2 linked regions of the Macaca fascicularis genome follow. The main gene of each other region encodes a partner of the protein of the gene in region 2 in a complex. Links are inferred from orthologs where the notes say so. Each region holds a gene or a part of one and is shown on either strand. Other genes may lie near its edges. The genes, in order: CBFB and APOBEC3F.

Region 1 (9,396 bases), on a different chromosome or scaffold from region 2:
AAATTAGCCAGGCGTGGTGGTGGCGCCTGTAGTCCCAGCTACTTGGGAGGCTGAGGCAGAAGAACGACGTGAACCCGGGAGGCGGAGCTTGTAGTGAGCCAAGATCGCACCACTGCACTACAGCCTGGGTGACAGAGCAAGACTCCGTCTCAAAAAAAAGTTTTTTGTTTGGTTTATTCTACTAATTAAGTTCAGAAGCATTATTTGTTTCCATGCATACAGTCTTCATCTCAAATTAAGAGGTTCACATTTGGGGCAATTTGTTTAAAGCCAACAACCAATTTGGCTATCCAATAGTTCCCCGATGGTTAACAGCTTAGATTCTTTAGAGGTAAAAATTATCCTTCCTATTTCTATTACTGGCACTGTCAGTACACTTGTCAACCTAAATGCTAAATCTCTAAACCTCTTTGATGGCATTTCCCTAATCAACTGGGGTACCATTTTCATGTGGTAAATGTTTTATATGCATAGAAACTGAACTAACATCAATATTACAACATCATTTTTAAAAATCTTTCAGGCCAAGAGTGGTGGTTCACGCTTGTAATCCCAGCACGTTGGGAAGTGAGACGGGTGGACCACCTGAGGTCAGGAGTACAAGACCAGCCTGGCCAACATGGTGAAACCCTGTCTCTACTAAAAATACAAAAAATTAGCTGGACGTGGTGGCAGACACCTGTAATCCCAGCTATTTGGGAGGCTGAGGCAGGAGAATCACTTGAACCCAGGAGGCAGAGGTTGCATGCAGTGAGCTGAGATTGCACCACTGTGGTCCAGCCTGGACAACCAGGTGAGACTCCATTTCAAAAACAAGAAAAAACAAAAAACAAAAAAAACTTCCCATGCACTATGAGCATAAGTCTTAGAACCCCCCAACACTAGTTCAAACAAAAAAGGAGTTTCTGGGAGGGAAACTGCCCAGGCTGTATGACCTGAAGCATACCTCAGTTTCCTCACAAATTAATTATTTGTAAAGTGCTTAAAACAGTACCAAGTAAATGTTACGAAAGTGTTTGCTGAATGATATGAGAAATAACTTTAAGTTCAACAAGAAAGTCAACTTTTTCAGCTTCAGATAATGAAATTCTCAGAGCAGAGTGGTGGCAGAAAAGAGACTCAGCACATGAATGAATGCCCTGTGTCAAAATCCCTGTGGTGTGCTTCTTCAGTAGCAAATCCTTCCACCTCCAGTGTACCCCAAATCAGCTCTGTGCCAAGACACTCTGCAGATCGTATTACCTCATCTCCTGTCTTGATGCCAACCTCAGAAGAGATTTCCTGCTTCATCACTATATGTCCATTATCTCATAAAGATCGCTCTCTGAGACAGAAGTGGTAAACACAGATCATTCTAGAAAAGCATTTTCCAAACTTATCTGACCATAGAACTCTTTTAATGAGATACCTATATATACGTAAGAGTTGGAAAAAGTCTGTTCCAAAATATTAATATATTGTTCCAAAATATTAATATATTGTCATAGGAAAATAAAGAAAAAAAGAAACAAAATGAAAACATTAAAATGCTACACTGGTATGACGCCTATATTTAAGATTTCCAGGTTGTCTTATGTTTTATAGGTTTCACAAATTATAAAATAGCACACCTTGAGACAATCCAACATACTTTTTACCATTCATTCTTCAGAATTAGAAATATGTATTAGTTTTTACTCTTCTCACCATAGAGTAACCATACTTCTCATAAATATTTTTTCTTTAATTGATTATTAGTGCTGAAGACATCTCCAACACTCTTACTACATAATTGGTAAGCATAGGCCAGGTACGGTGGCTCAAGCCTGTAATCCCAGCACTTTGGGAAGCCAAGGCAGGCAGATCACGCGATCAGAAGCTCGACACCAGTCTGGCCAACGTAGTGAAACCCCATCTCTACTAAAAATACAAAAAATTAGCTGGGTGTGGTGGTGTGCGCCTGTAATTCCAGCTACTCGTGAGGCTGAGGCAGGAGAATCGTGAGAACCCAGGAGGCGGAGGTTGCAGTGAGCCAAGATCTTGCCATTGCACTGCAGCCTAGCCGACAGTATGAGACACCGTCTCAAAAAAAAACAAAAACAAAAAAAACAAAAAACCGTGAAACCCTGTCTCTACTAAAAATACAAAAACAAAATTAGCCAGGCGCGGTGGCAGGCGCCTGTAGTCCCAGCTACTCGGGAGGCTGAGGCGGGAGAATGATGTGAACCCAGGAGGCGGAGCTTGCAGTGAGCTGAGATAGGGCCACTGCACTCCAGCCAGGGCAACAGAACGAGACTCCAACTCAAAAAAAAAAAAAAAAAAAATTCGTAAGAATAAATCAAAGCTGGGTGCAGTGGCTCACGGAAGCAGGCAGATCACTTGAGGCCAGGAGTTGGAGACCAGCCTGGCCAACACAGTGAAACCCATCTCTACTAAAAATACAAAAACCAGACAGGCATGATGGCAGGCACCTATAATCCCAGCTAGTCGGGAGGCGGAAGCAGGAGGCGGAGGTTGCAGCGAACGGAAATGGCACCACTGCACTCCAGCCTGGGTGACAGAGTGAGATCCAGTCTCAAAAAAAGAATAAATCAGATTCTACCACAGATTCTTCTACTGGTGTTCACTTTTATTTAATGCTGATTAGGTTTTACAGTTAAAAACTCAATTGGCATAAAATAAGGGGGCTGATTTTTATAGTTAGAGATGATCAACACATCCTTAAATTATTTCACATCTAAATGCAAATGGGAATAGTTTTGAGAACTGTGGATATTCTTGCCATTTATGGCTGCTGTCAAAACAGGCAAAATAATGCCTTTTTCCACAGCCAAATAGAAAGAAACCATGGCCTATTCATAAGTAATAAGATAAATTTCAGGCATTAAATTAACTAGCCTCTAAATTCAAATAATCAAGTACCTATGGTATTGTGCAAAATACCTGTATCCAGAGGGGTTTATACAGAATTAATAAGGTCTCCACCCTCTAGGAGCTAAGGATCCTGTAATTAAATGTGGGTTAACACTAAATTAAAGGAGGGAAACTAGAAAGAGAAAAAACTAGGAAATGTGAAATTCCTCTCCAAATACCAATAGTTACATTACTTAACAAAATAAGACCTGTGTCGTCTTAAGTGCAAACCTCACACAGCATTCAATCTACCTTCTTTAACCTTTAATACTTTTCAGAAATTTAAAACTTATAAAATGTGTCGGATCAGACATTTGTTTTATTTTTGGAGACAGGGTCTCACTCTGTCACCTAGGCTGGAGTGCAGTGGTGTGATTATGGCTCACTGCAGCCTCGATCTCCCAGGCTCAGGTGAGGATCAGATATTTGGAAGCAGGAAAAGTCTAGAATGTCTAATTCATCCTGGAAAGAAATTTAAGACAAACACTAACCACCTATAACACTACTATAATATTACGGCATTTCAGATATCCCATGGGTTGAATTCATAATTCCATTCAGCAAAGTCTGAAATGACAGAAAACACCCTACTAGCTATGATTCACCATTCCAAAAAAATTCAGCTTTCAAAAATAGTGATAATAATATAATACATGGGGCGGCGTATGGTGACACCGAGCCTGGTAGTCCCAGCTATTGGGAGGCTGAGACAAGAGGATCGCTTGAGCCCAGAAGTTTGAGGCTGTAGTGCCTTATGATTATGTCTGTGAACAGCCACTGCACCCCAGCCTAGGCCACACAGCAAGACCTCTCTCTTAAAAAAAAACAAAACAAAACAAGGCCGGGCGCGGTGGCTCACACTTGTAATCCCAGCACTTTGGAAGGCCGAAGTGGGAGGATCATTTAAGGTCAGGAGTTCAAAACCAGCCTGGCCAACATGGTGAAACCCTGTCTCTACTAAAAATACAAAAAAATTAGCTGGGCGTGGTGGTGTGTGCCTCTAATCCCAGCTACTCAGGAGGTTGAGGCAGGAGAATCGCTTGAACCTGGGAGGCAAAGGTTGTAGCGAGCCAAGACTACATCATGCTGCTGCACTGCAGCCTGGGTAATAGAGCGGGACTCCATCTCAAAACAAACAAAAAAGCAAACATTGACAGTACAAATACTTTGTATCTTATCTTTTATACTTGCATCCTTTACCTCCAGGAAATTCTATCCTCAAGTGTACCACCTTCCTTTTGCAAAAGGTAACCCAGGCAAAGGATGACACGATCATCGCACCAGCTAATGAATTATTTTCTTATACCACTCAGTGACAAAATCTAAAAGCATGTCTTATGCACTTCAATCATATAAATAATACAATTACTCAAGAAACTTGCAAGTGGGCTAAAAGCTTGAGACTGTCTTTCATAACATGCACTAATGACCAAATATTCACGAGCTCCTATAAATTTAACCAGTATCTTCTATTACAATTCTAAAAAGCCTTCACTTAAAATATCAAGATATTCTTTAAAATTAAATTTGAGTTCAGTGATGAAAAGGAAGAGTTTTATGGCATAAGAATTATATCTGAATAAAAATAAACTGGTTTTATAAAGGGGGTGGGAGGAGTAAATTTCCAATATGTCTTCCTACTATTAACCCAAATTCAAATCGCATCTAACTTCAAGCCTCTGACAATGCAATAGGTCCAAGTCACCCAGCAGATAGTAACAGCATTCCATTAGACAGCGCTTTAACTTTTTAAAAAATAATCAGGCCGGACGCAGTGGCTCACGCCTGTAATCCTAACACTCTGGAAGGTCGAGGAGGATGGATCACTTGAGGTCAGGAGGCCAGCTTGGCCAACATGGTGAAACCCCGTCTCTACTGAAAATACAAAAATTAGCCGGGCGTGGTGGCAGGCACCTGTAATCCTAGCTACTCAGGAGGCTGAGGCACGAAAATCGCTTGAACCCAGGAGGCGGAGGTTGCAGTGAGTGGAGATCGAGCCACTGTACTCCAGTCTGGGCAACAGAGCAAGACTCTACCTCAAAAAAATAATAATCAACCTCTTTTCTCGGTTTCTTCCTACCATTCTCTCCTCATCAGCACCTCCAACAAGGCAAACCAAAAGGAGATGAGAGGAACTAGGACCCTTGAATTTTTTTCTTCAACCCAAGATCTGGTGAAGACACACCAAATCTGCCTCCTAAAACGAGGACCTCGAGATCAACCGTGAGTTTCGCCCATCTGTGCATTTTAGGAACGGCAGCCCTACTCGAGACATGTGGATAATGGTTTATTTCTGATTCTCCTGAAGCTTAACATTCTAAGAAAATGACACTTTTAAGGCCTTTCCCCCCCGTTTCCTCTCTATTAGGACAATACATAACTGGAGAAAAGATTTCTTCTCGGCGATCTGGGAGTGAGACCGCTTGACAGAGAATCACCGAGAGCTCACCTTTTAAGAAACAAACTATCGCCGACCTTGAATGAAGCTCCGGTTGTTTTTCCGAATGGGGGTTTGCTTGCTTGCCACAAATACCCTGAACCCTTCCTTGGTGTAGCCGCCTAAACAATGCCCTTCACTTGTTTAGTCTGGCTCGGGTTCGAGCCCCACTCGCGGTGCTCCATTGGCCGACACGCGCCACCGCGGCGGGCCCCAGGGAAAGCGTCTCCTCGCGAGCACCGGCCCGCGGCGTCTGGTTTCGCATTTTGAAACCCGAGTAGGAAGTGAGACGGCGCCCGCTCAGTTCCGGGAGCCGCGGCAGCCGCGCCGCCGTCCGGAACCGGCCTGGGCCGCGGCCGCCCGGCGCAACAAGTGACCCGCGCGCGCCCCTGTCTGCGCCCCGGGCCCGCCGACTTACGATTTCCGAGCGGCCGTCGCGGCAGGCGTTCTGGAAGCGCGCCTGGCGCTCCTCGTGGGGCCGGTCCCTGAAGCCCGTGTACTTAATCTGCAAGGCAAGACGGCCCGAAATCAGGAGCCAAATCCGCGGCGCCGCCCGCGCGCCCGCCCTCCCAGCGCGGCGCCGATAAAGGCAAGCAGAGGCTGCGGGCGACGGCCGCCCAGGCGAGATTGCCCCTCCGCAGGCGCGCCGACCGGGACTCCCGGGGACCGCGCCGCCCAAACTTTTCTTCGCCCGGGCCCACTCGGGGCGCGCTGCGGCCTCCTAGCCGCCCGCCCGCCTCACCTCACACTCGCGGCTCAGCTTCCTAAAGAACTCCTCGTTCTCGAACTTGCTTCTCTGGTCGGGCACGACGCGCGGCATCTTCCCGCCCTGAGGCCGCGCCGGCCAGCCGCGCTCGGGGCTTGCGCGGGCACCCGCTGGCTGGCTCCGCGCTGACCGACTGACCGCCCACCCGCGGCGCCCGGACGCCCGCTTCCCTTTGTTTCAGGCGCCCGCCCGCGTGGGCTCCCGTTCCGAGGAGTCGGAGGCGCAGCTGCCCGCTCGAACCCAACCCACGCCGCCGCCGCCGCCGCCTCAGCCGTTGCCTGCCGCCCGCGCAGCCCCAGCTCTCGCCGCCCCCGGCCGCCGCCGCCGCCGCCACTTCCTCTCACCGCCCACCCCGCCCCCGGCGGCCCCACCCCTCCTCCTTGCGAGCCCGCCCGCCTCCAACTCCAGCAAACAAGACGCACCATTCACAACTCCGCGGCCCGCGCCGCGCATGCGCCACCCGCCCGCTGGCTAAGCAGCGGGGCTGTGGCGCCCCGGGGCTCTTTCCGCAGCGCTGCCCTTTTCCCGCTGCTCGCCCGCGATCACTCGGCGTGGAGCTGCCGTGGGGGGATCCGCCTGCCTTTTAGCAGACGGGAGTAGCTAACGCAGGCCTTTTCTTCCGCCCTTCCTCGGCCATCTGGAACTTCTGGGTTCCCCAGGTGCGCGGAGTAACCCCAGATTGTCATTTGAACGCGAGGAAACCTAAGTCCTTGGGGACTTTTCGTCCCTAAACCGACCGGTAGGGGTGTAGGCTGTGCACGTTGAAGACTGAGGTGGAAATGGACCGAAGAATCCAACCAAGGCATGGTGGAAAGGTCGTGGCTGTTGGAGTCAGATGGGTCTTAGATGGGATCCCACTCAGCTACACTACCTGCTGGCTGGGGCCTTAGACAAGAACTGGACCACTAAACCTCAGTTTCCTTATTTCCAAAATGCAGACACTCCTAAGTTTGCAGTGTTAGCGTGAGAACTGTTATGTGGGTCTAGCACACAGTGGGAGCCCAATAAATTTAAGTTTCTAAAGAAGAACAAGCTGCGTTAAGAATGTAACCGATTGCCAGTCTTACTCAGTGTGCAATCAGCTGCAAAAAAAATAAGATCCATAAGTTCTAGGGAAGTCGTTTAGCCCAAACTGGAGAAAGTCTGACATGGGATTTATGGCAGAGTTTCATTCAAAGTTAGTCCTGTGGCCGGGCGCGGTGGCTTATACCAGTAATCCCAGCCTTTTTTTTTTTTTTTTTTTTTTTTAAACAGAGTCTTGCTCTGTCGCCCAGGCTGGAGTGCGATGGCGTGATCTCGGTTCACTGCAACCTCTGCCTCCTGGGTTCAAGTGATTCTCCTGCCTCTGCCTCCCGAATGGTTGGAATTACAGGGGCCCACCACCATCCCCGGCTAAATTTTTTTGCATTTTTAGTAGAGAAGGGGTTTCGTCGTGTTAGTCAGACTGGTCTGGAACTACTGACCTCAGATGATCTGCCCGCCTCGGCCTCCCAAAGTGCTGGGATTACAGGCGTGAGCCTCTGCGCCTGGCCTAATCCTAGCACTTTGGGAGGCCGAGGCGGGCTGATCACCTGAGATCAGGAGCTTGAGGCCAGCCTGGTCAACATGGCAAAACCCCATCTCTACTAAAAGTACAAAAATTAGCCAGGTGTGGTGGCACACGCCTGTAGTCTCAGCTACTGAGGAGGCTGAGGCAGGAGAATCGCCTGACCCCGGGAGGTGGAGGTTGTAGTAGCCGAGATGGTGCCACTGCACTCCAGCCTGGGCCACAGAGCAAGACTCCATCTCAAACAGCTACTCGAGAAGCTGAGGCAGGAGGATGGGTTGAACCTGGGAGGCAGAGGTTGCAGTGAGACAAGATCGTGCCATTGCACTCCAGCCTGGGTGACAAGAGCATAACCCCGTCTCGGGGGGGGGGGGGGGGGGGGGGGGAAGAAAACTCCATGAAGAAGCACTCTTGTTCCACAATGGGTCCAAGGAGGGCTCACAGACCTCCAAGTTGATCTTGGCCAAAGACTCCAGCAATAATTGTTTCTGCCATGGGAAATGTGGAATAAATAAAAGTTGAAAGATCTCTAGAATGGCCTTGATGGCCAGACAGACACTATGAGCTTAGACAAGGTCAGGGTCAAGGGAGCTGGACCTGGAGGGGTGGGAGTACAGAGCAGGGCAGGGCGCTCTCATTGTCAGCCTCATGGAGGGGAGGAATGATGTCCTAAGGGAAAGGGACAGCAAAGCCTGCCAAGCAGACCCAGAACAGCAGCCCCACAGACAGCCTTGGGCAACTGCAGGCCACAGGGTAACCCACACTCGGTGTAGTCTGGCATTCAACAGCCAGGATGACTGGGAAATAAGCCACATACTGAAGAAGGCCATCTCCTCAGCTAACCTCTATATGCCTTTTTGGTGGTGGTTTAAATTTTTTTCACTTCTTTTAAAAAACTGAATTAAAGGAAATTTATAAAGGAAACTTTCACCCATGTAAGGTACACTTAAGTCTGTGCTTCTAACAGCTTTGGCAGCTGTTGAGTTGGGTATGGGTTAGCCCAGACACTATGCTATGGGTGTTTGCTAAGGGGGTTTGCTAAGATCCAGCTCTACTAAGGCCCACACATGGAAGCTTGCAGGTGTCTCTTCTGTGCCAAGAAACATCTGCCCCCACCGTCCCAAAACCTGACTGAATTATCTGAAGTCCTATCATCTGGAATCTTCCTTTTGTAAGGATTCAAGCCAACCAAGGGTCTTCTCTGAGTACCTCCCTAACTTCCTAGGTGGGTGCCTGCTCCTGCAGACTCCTAAAGCTGATCTTAGGTGGGTAAATAGATAATACACAATGAAGCTGAGCAGAGTGCAGGAACCTTCACTTGCCTAGTGCAACTGTGAAGCTCTGTTCAGGGTGCCTTCATGCACCTTATCTCAGTTAGTTCACACAACCACCTCCTTTTTTTTTTTCTTTTTTTGAGACAGAGTCTTACTCTGTTGCCCAGGCTGGAGTATAATGGTGCGATCTTGGCTCACTGCAACCTCCGCCTCTCAGGTTCAACTGATTCTCCTGCCTCAGCTTCCTGAGTAGCTGGGATTACAGGCGCCTGCCACCACGCCCAGCTAATTTTTGTATTTTTAGTAGAGAAGGACAGGCTAGTCCCGAACTCCTAACCTCAGGCGATCTGCCCGCCTCAGCCTCCCAAAGTGCTGGGATTATAGGCGTGAGTCACTGCACCTGGCCCACACAACCATCTTCTAAGTCAGGTCTCATGTCTCCATCTGAGAGATGAGGAAACAGACTTTGAAAAAGTAAATA
Region 2 (8,825 bases):
CTCTTCCTCTACGATCAGCATTCACCATTTATAATGACACCAGTAACATGGAATATAGTGACTGGGCACGGTGGCTCAAGCCTGTCATCCCAGCACTTTGGGAAGCTGAGTCAGGCGGATCGCCTGAGGTCGGGAGTTTGAGAGCAGCCTGACAAACATGGATAAACCCTGTCTCTACTAGAAATATATAATTAACCAGGTGCAGTGGCGGGTGCCTGTAATCCCAGCTACTCTGGAGGCTGAGACAGGATAATCGCTTGAACCCAGGAGGTGGAGGTTGCGGTGAGCCGAGATCGTGCCATTGCACTCCAGCCTGGGCAACAAGAGTGAAATTTAGTCTCAAAAGAAAACAAAAGCAAAAACAAAACAAAAAACATGGAATATATGGGGGAAAAAAGCCTCCATGATCAGGAGAAATGCTTTTATTTTAAAATTTAGTAAGAAGAGAGCCCGGTCCCCAGTGACTCCCTCCTGCAGGGCCGGTGATACAGAGACTGGATAGGGCTTGTCTGATAAGAGGCCCAGCCCCATCCATCCCCAGCTCTGTGGCCTGGGCAGGTTACCCCACCTCTCTGCGCCTCTGGCCCCTCCTCTATAAGATGGGAAATGCCCCTGCAGGCCTAGGGCAGCCTCACATGAGTTTAAACCCACGCAGCACTTAGAAGAGTGGCCTGGGCCTCAGAATTCAGTTCTACCGTGATTTAAAAATAGTAATATACTAAGGTGAAATGTCAGGAAGGAACTGGCTGAAAGGTTAAAATCTATGATTTTTTAAAAAAATATTATTATTTAAAAATATTTTTTTTAATCTTTTTTTTTTTTTTTGAGATGAATTTTCACTCTTGTTGCCCAGGCTGGAGTGTAATGGCACGATCTCGGCTCACTATAACCTCTGCCTCCCACGTTCAAGTGATTCTCCTGCCTCAGCCTCCTGAGTGGCTGGGATTACACGCACCCGCCACCAGGCCTGGCTAATTTTTGTGTTTTTCGTAGAGACTGGGTGTCACCATGTTGATGAGACTGGTCTCAGACTCCTGACCTCAATGATCGGCCCACCTCGGCCTCCCAAAAGGCTGGGATTACAGTTATGAGCCATAAAGGCCAGCCAATAACTTTATTCTCTTTTGCATTTTACTAATGCGTTGGAGAGTAGGTGGGAGAAATACCGGGAGGGTGGGGAATGTACCCCTGGAATGACCAGAGCTGGGCCCCGAGCGGGAAGAGGTCACCCCGGTCCTGCCGCCCCTGCCAGCACCCCCTTTTCTTGCTCTCTCCCCGGTCTTCCTGCCTGGGAAGGAAGCAGAAATTCTCAGGGCTGTGGAGAGATGGGGGAGGCCCAGAGCCGTCCAGGGAACTGTGTTTAGCGGACATCAGTGCGGAGGGCTCCTGGGAGCGCTCTCTGCATTGGCTGGTTTCTCTCTTGTGTCTTCAGAAACACAGTGGAGCGAATGTATCGAGGCACATTCTTCTACAACTTTAATAACAGACCCATCCTTTCTCGTCGGAATACCGTCTGGCTGTGCTACGAAGTGAAAACAAGGGGCCCCTCAGTGCCCACTTGGGGCACAAAGATCTTTCGAGGCCAGGTACCACCCAGACTCCAATCACTTTACAGGCAGGAGCTAAGCCAGCTGGGAAAGCAAACCACGTACTGACGAGTGAAATGCCCGGCGGCGGCCTGTCCAGGGTGTCGTTCTCTCCCACACTTTCCAAGTCCGTGGCCCTGACCTTCCCGCTGGACCATCCTGGGATCGGATCGTGGAGGGGGTTTGCCTCTGCACAAAAGGCCTTGTTTTTTTTTGTTTTTGTTTTTTTTTGAGACAGAGTTTCTCTCTTGTTGCTCAGGCTGGAGTGCAATGACGCAATCTCAGCTCACTGCAACCTCTGACTCCTGGGTTCAAGCGATTCTGTTGCCTCAGACTCCCGAGTAGCTGGGATTACAGGTGCCCACCACCATGTGTGGGTAATTTTTTTTTTTTTTTTTGTATCATTAGTAGAGACCGGATTTTACCATGTTGGCCAGGTTGGTCTTGAACTCCAGACCTCAGGTGATCCACCTGCCTCGGCCTCCCAAAGTGTTGGGATTACAGGTGTGAGCCACAGTGCCGGCCTATTTTTAATATTTTATTCAATCCAATGTCGCTAACATTACTTCAAGATTATTTAACATAAAATTCTTGACAAGATAGTGAAGTTTCTTTTTCTTGTCATGCTGAGTCTTTGAAATGAGCCGTGTAAGCCATGCTAGTGGGGTGGCTGGCGCCTGTATCCCAGCACTTTCGGAGGCTGAGGCCAGTGGATCACCTGAGGTCAGATGTTCGAAAACCAGCATGGCCAACATGGTGAAATCCCATCTCTACTAAAAATACAAAAAAATTAGCCAAGCGTGGTGGCAGTCACCTGTAATCCCAGCTACTTGGGAGGCTGAGGCAGGAGAATCGCTTGAACCCATGAGGCAGAGGTTATGGTGAGTTGAGATTGCATCATTGCACTCCAGCCTGGGCAACAAGAGTGAAACCATGTCTCAACAACAACAACAACAAAAAGAGAAATGAGCGGTGTATAATGTATTTTTCAGGTGCCCAGGTCTCTCATCAGAGCCCCATTTCAAGTGCTCAGTAACCCCCTTGCCCAGTGCCCCCCACCACATGGGAGAGCACAAGTCCAGTGGCTTCTCCAGGAGATGGCAGGGAGGGAACAAGGCAGACCCCAGAGGGCCAGGCCACAGCAGGGGCTGAGGATGCCTGGTGAATGGATGCCTGGGAGAATGGATGCCAGAATTCACGCACGAGGCCGTGAACAGGGCTGGGAAAACTCCCAAAAAAAGGGAAGCACGTGTCTTGGTGCACCTTGTGATGCTTCAACAGCAGGACTGAGACGGAGACATTGACAATGAATAGAAATGTGCTGGCTCGAGTTCTGGACGCTGGGAAATCCACTGTCAAGGCACCAGCGACTTTCCAGGGCCTGCGAGCTGCACAGTCACGTGGGGGTGAAGGTTGTTGCCAGAAGGTCGGGGATGCTCCAGCCAGAGTGGCCTGGGATGTCGGGTCACTGCTGCTCCATGCCACGGGGACAAGAGGAAGCAGGAGTTTAATCTTACACACTGCCCCTCCAGCTAGTGGGCAAGAGACAGAAAGTGGGGCTAAAGTCGCCCTTGAATAACCACAGCAGTGGCACCCACAAAGGTGGAGTCCCCACAACCTCATAGCCGCTTGTATGTGCCACCTCTTAATGGTTAATGGTAATGGTTATGGTTAAGGCCATTACCATAGCAATTAACACTGAGCATGAGCTTTGGAGCAGACAATCACTCAAACTAATCAGGGGGATGGAGGAAAGGAGCTTCAGTGGCAAGATCCCCTGGACTCCTGTCCTGGCCCCTCCTCCCACTGCCCCAACCCTGCCCTCTCCTCCTGCTCCCCCTCTCAGAGCATCCCCTGCCCCTGCTCCTCTCCCAGGTGTATTCCAAGCCTGAGCACCACGCAGAAATGTGCTTCCTCTCTCGGTTCTGTGGCAACCAGCTGCCTGCTTACAAGCGCTTCCAGATCACCTGGTTTGTATCCTGGACCCCCTGCCCAGACTGTGTGGCGAAGGTGGCCGAATTCCTAGCTGAGCACCCTAATGTCACCCTGACCATCTCTGCCGCCCGCCTCTACTACTACTGGGAAACAGATTATCGCAGGGCGCTCTGCAGGCTGCGTCAGGCAGGGGCCCGAGTGAAGATCATGGACTATGAAGGTGAGAGGAGGAGGGGTCAGGGGAGTGTGAGTGGGTGGAACAGCATGAGAGATGGATGGATCTGCAATGCCATGGCTGGGGGCGTCCCAGGGCAACCTACAGGGGCAGGGCCAGGGCTGACCACAACTGACCACCAGGAGAGCAGGCCTGGGAGGGCAGGACCAGGGTCAGGGGAGAGCCTGACTGCTTCCTGCCTCTTCATGTCAGAATTTGCATACTGCTGGGAAAACTTTGTGTACAATGAAGGTCAGTCATTCATGCCTTGGGACAAATTCGATGACAATTATGCATTCCTGCACCACAAGCTAAAGGAGATTCTCAGGTGAGGGTCTCCCTCTGGCCTCATGGTCTCTCTCCTCTCACCTCCTGCTCATCCTCCTGAGGCCTCCCCTGGCCAGGCCCTCCTGCCCTCCCTTCTGCCCCCTGCCTGCCCTCATAGTTACACCCCCTCACCCCAACTCCTCGTGTTTCCTCCACCTCCCTGCCTCCTCCCTGCTTTCCTGGGCCCCTCCTGTGAGTGAGAGGCCCCTTCGGCCTCCAGAGCGACCTCCATCCACCCCCGAGGCCGCCCTCCCCACAGCCTGGGATCCCCAACCTGGCTCCTTCCATCTCCCTGGCATAACCGAATTTGTCATAACACTGGACGTAAGTGGGCGTGAATATTCACAAGCTCGACAGCCAGAAGCTTTGAGCAACATCCTTCAAGGCTGACCTGAGCCCTTGAGAAGGAGCCGCCACTGTGGGAACAGAGCTTCAGGCTTCGGCTGCCGTAGAAGATGGCCTGGGCCGGGTGCCCACAGGGCCGGCATTTATTTTCTCACAGATCTGGAGGCTGCAAGTCCAGGGTGGAGGGGTGGGCGGGGCTGTGTCCTCTGCGGCCGCTCCTCCTGGCCCTGTCCTCTCTGGCCGTTCCTCTGTGCACCTGCAACCCTAGGGTCTATCTGCCTCTAAATGTCCTCCTTGTTTATGGTCCCCAGTCAGACAGGATTAGGGCCCACCCTAAGGACGATGAGTTAATTTAACCACCACTTTAGTGGACCTGTCTCCAAATACAGTTATCCTGTGAGGAGGTGGGATGAGGACTTCAACATATCAATGTTGGGAAGATACAATTTAGCCCATGACAACGACCCAGGGGGCTTTGGGTCAAGCTTGGGTGGTGTATGCAGGGATCTCCGTTCTGTGTGTCTGTCTCCCAGGAGTCCTGTCCTGACCCTCACAGCCCCTCCCTTCAGACCTTGCTGCACCCTGGGCCGCACCCCATGGCTTCCCCACCCAACAGCACGCAGCCCGGCCTCCTGCTCACACCCGTCACTTCTCAAATCCTCCCCACAGGATGGAGATGCAGAAAGAGCCAAACACTCAGTGATCAAGGTCCCATGTGAATAAATTTTTTTTTTTTTTTTTTTGAGACAGCCTCTCCCTCAGTCGCCCAGGCTGGAGTGCTGTGGTGCGATCTCGGCTCACTGCAACCTCTGCTTCCCAGGTTCTAGCAATTCTCTTGTCTCAACCTCCCAAGTACCTGGGATTACAAGCACATGTCACCACACTGGCTAATATTTGTATCTTTAGTAGAGATGGGGTTTTGCAGTGTTGGCCAGGTGTTGAGTGAGATTTTACAAAAGCGTAGGCTTGGATAACGGGAGGCTTGAGATGCCAGGAACCTTCCAGGAAGCACAATAGAAAAAGGCAACCAGGGACCAGACAGGCCATAGAAAGAGATCATCTAAGGCCCTTGGGAGAGACGGGAACTAAGCACCTGGGTCTTAGACCGGAAGAGCAAACTGCAAGACAGGGTGGCCAGGGACACCAAGCTCTGCCCTTTCATCACATATAGACAGGAGCTCAGCCAGCCAGGGAACAACTCTAGGCAGGAGATGTGGAAGGAAGGAGCTCAGTGTGGGGGTACGCATGACATCCTGGTGGGACACCTGAGGCCCCCCCACCAGCTATTCCTCCCTCCAATGGTGGCCTTTGAGTGTGAGGGTATGGGGGGAGGCAGACACCTGCCCCTCACTCTCCCTCCCTACCACATAGCTGCTGGGTGGGGGGCGTCCCTGGGATGATTCCTGAGGGCAGGATCCAGGGGTCTCTCTGGAGGTCCTCCCATCCAGGTGAGAAAGCAGCCTGAAGTGAGGCCGGCACTCAGATGGGCCTGGGAGGTCACTCACAGCGCAGGTGCCTCCTGGAACAAGGGCCCTGGAAGATAGAAATAGAACCCAAGCCCAGGACTAACATCAGGGCCAGGACAAGCCTGCCAAGGAGGCTGCATGTGAAGCCCCAGATCAGGGACCACTGTGCGCTCTGCCCGCGGGGCCTCTGCTGCCCCTTCCTGCCTGGTGGCCCTGCTGGGCCTCAGCCCTGGCCTCCCCCTGCCCCAGCCCCAGCCCTAGGCTCTCTGCCCTCTGCTCTCTGCCCTCTTCTCTTTTGCTCCCACTCCCAGCCAGGCTCTTTGCCCTGCTATGTGGTCACCGGTCTGCAGCTTCTGAATGGGCCGCCTCCCCAACCTGCCCCAGCCCAGGCCCCCTGCTCAGACTCTCCCCAGAAAATCACCACTGGGCTGGTGCTCCCCACCCTGGGAGGGTGCTCCCTCTGTGTGCTTCCCACCATTCCTGAGCTCTGGAACTGGGAGAATTGAACCAAAGGATGATTGGAGCAATCCGGCATTTTGTTCTCAGCACTTTGATGAAATTTCTGTAATATTTACTTTGTTTCAACACAAAGTCTTAGGAGAGGGTGTGGGGGAGGGAATGGTCTCTGTACCAGAAAATATGTCATTTCTTCCAAAGATGCCTCCAGTGTGAGCAGAGGAGGATGCACATGACCCCAGACACAGGCTCCTCCTCCGTAAGCACCATTCACCTTTTAGAATGACACATGTAACCTGGAATGTAGGAAAAAATATGATGATCAGGAGTAATGCTCTTATTTTAAAGTTTAGTAAGAAGAGAACCCGGTTCCCGACAGCTCCCTGCTACAGGGCCTGTGATGCAGAGGCTGGACAGGACTGGCATGGAAAGGGGCCCCAGCTCCATCCATCCCCAGCTCTGTGACCTGGGCAGGTTACCCTACCTCTCTGTGCCTCTGGCACTTCTGTAAAATAGGATGGCCCCTGCAGGCCTCAGGGACGTGCCATGAGCTCAGACATATGCAGCACTTACGAGAGTGGCCTGGACCTGCCAGGCACAGTGGCTTACGCCTGTCATCCCAGAACTTTGGGAGGCTGAGGTGGGCAGATCACGAGTTCAGGAGTTCAAGACCAGCCTGGCCAACATGATGAAAACCGGTTGCTACTAAACATACAAAAACTAGTGCTGGGCACGGTGGCTCACGCTTCTAATCCCAGCACTTTCGGAGGCCGAGGTGGGCAGATCACAAGGTCAGCAGTTCAAGACCATCCTGGCTAACATGGTAAAGCCCTATCTCTACTAAAAATTAAAAAAGTTGCCTGTAATCCCAGCACTTTGGGAGGCCGAGATGGGTGGATCACGAGGTCAGGAGATCGAGACCATCCCGGCTAACACGGTGAAACCCCATCTCTACTAAAAAAAAATACAAAAAAATTAGCCGGGCGAGGTGGCGGGCGCCTGTAGTCCCAGCTACTGGGAGGCTGAGGCGGGAGAATGGCGTGAACCCGGGAGGCGGAGCTTGCAGTGAGCCGAGATCGCGCCACTCCTCTCCAGCCTGGTGAAAGAGTGAGACCCCATATAAAAATAAATAAATAAAAATACAAAAATCAGCCAAGCGTGGTGACACAAGTCTGTAATCCCAGCTACTCAGGAGGCTGAGGTGGGAGAATCACTTCAACATGGGAGGTGCGGTGCAGTTTGCAGTGAGCCGAGATCGCACCACTGCACTCCATCCTGGATGCCAGCGAGATTCTGTCTCAAAAAGAAAAAAAAAAAAAAAACGGAGAGTATTCGGTGTGATCCCAATGTAAAAATAATAATCATCATCGGACAGGTGAAATGTGAGGAAGGAATTGAGCTGAAATATTCAAGCAATTATTTGAGTTTGGAGAGTTTTATTGTCTGTTGCATTTTCCTAATGGGTTGGGAGATGTGTGGCAGAAAAACTGGGAGGTTAAGGGTGTCCCATTGGTAGCCCCAGAGCTGGGGTTCCAGCTGGGAGAGGTCACTCCGGCCCTGCTGCCCCTGCCAGTATCCCCTCCTCTTTCTCTCTCCAAATCATCCTGCCTGGGAAAGCAGCAGACATTCTCAGGGCTGCGGAGGGATGGGGGAGGCCCAGAGCCCAGGGCAGTCCAGGGAGTGATGTTCAGCGGGCATCAGCCCCCAGGACTCCGGGGGGGGCGTCTCTGCATTGGCGGGTTTCTCCCTTGTGCCCTCAGAAACCCGATGGAGGCAACGTATCCACACATATTCTACTTCCACTTTAAAAACCTACGGAAAGCCTATGGTCGGAATGAAACCTGGCTGTGCTTCACCATGGAAATTATAAAGCAGCACTCAACTGTCTCCTGGGAGACGGGCATCTTCCGAAACCAGGTAGCACCAAAGTCCTAGTTACACCCCAAATAGGAGCTAAGTAGCTGGGAATGCAGAAACCACAAGAAGTGATGTGCCTGGCGCGGGCTCTCCTGTGTGTACTTTCCTTTTACATTTCTTTTTTTCTTTTTCCTTTCTTTTTTCTTTTTTCTTTCTTTCTTTTTTTTTTTTTGTTTTTTTTTTTTTGGTTTTTTTTTGTTTTTTTTTTTGTTTTTTTGAGACGGAGTCTCGCTCTGTCGCCCAGGCTGGAGTGCAGTGGCGTGATCTCGGCTCACTGCAGCCTCTGCCTCTTGGGTTCAAGCGATTCTCCTGTCTCAGCCTCCTGAGTAGCTGGGATTACAGGTGCCCGCCACCACACCCGGCTAATTTTTATTGTATTTTTAGTAGAGACGGGGTTTCACCACAGTGGCCAGGCTGGTTTCGAACTCCTGACCGCACGGGATCCGCCCCCCTCGGCCTCCCAAAGTGCTAGGATTATAGGCATGAGCTACCGCGCCCAACCTCCTCCCACATTTTTAAGTCCGTGGCCCAGATCTTCCTCCCTGTCTCTCCTGGGATCGGATGGTGGAGGGGGTTTGT

Evidence for each region.
Region 1: the proteins of APOBEC3F (region 2) and CBFB are in contact, whole or in part, in a cryo-EM structure (PDB 6NIL), measured with the Homo sapiens proteins. The link is inferred for Macaca fascicularis from reciprocal best matches to the Homo sapiens genes APOBEC3F and CBFB. Residues at the interface, in NP_660341.2 of Homo sapiens: Glu289, Leu291, Ala292, Arg293, His294, Ser295, Asn296, Glu324; in NP_001746.1 of Homo sapiens: Phe32, Asp34, Arg35, Arg43, Glu54.

Annotation. Positions count from the first base shown.
Region 1 is NC_088394.1:63,041,902-63,051,297, reverse strand, and holds the start of CBFB (core-binding factor subunit beta), read right to left. Parts: upstream 6,425-9,396; 5' UTR 6,150-6,424; coding exon 6,072-6,149; intron 5,835-6,071; coding exon 5,748-5,834; exon of another isoform or gene 5,342-5,747; intron 1-5,341. UniProt on the Homo sapiens protein: Forms the heterodimeric complex core-binding factor (CBF) with RUNX family proteins (RUNX1, RUNX2, and RUNX3).
Region 2 is NC_088384.1:12,616,716-12,625,540, reverse strand, and holds part of APOBEC3F (DNA dC->dU-editing enzyme APOBEC-3F), read left to right. Parts: intron 1-1,432; coding exon 1,433-1,586; intron 1,587-2,578; coding exon of another isoform or gene 2,579-2,890; exon of another isoform or gene 2,891-3,412; intron 3,413-3,461; coding exon 3,462-3,741; intron 3,742-3,948; coding exon 3,949-4,063; intron 4,064-8,089; coding exon 8,090-8,246; intron 8,247-8,825.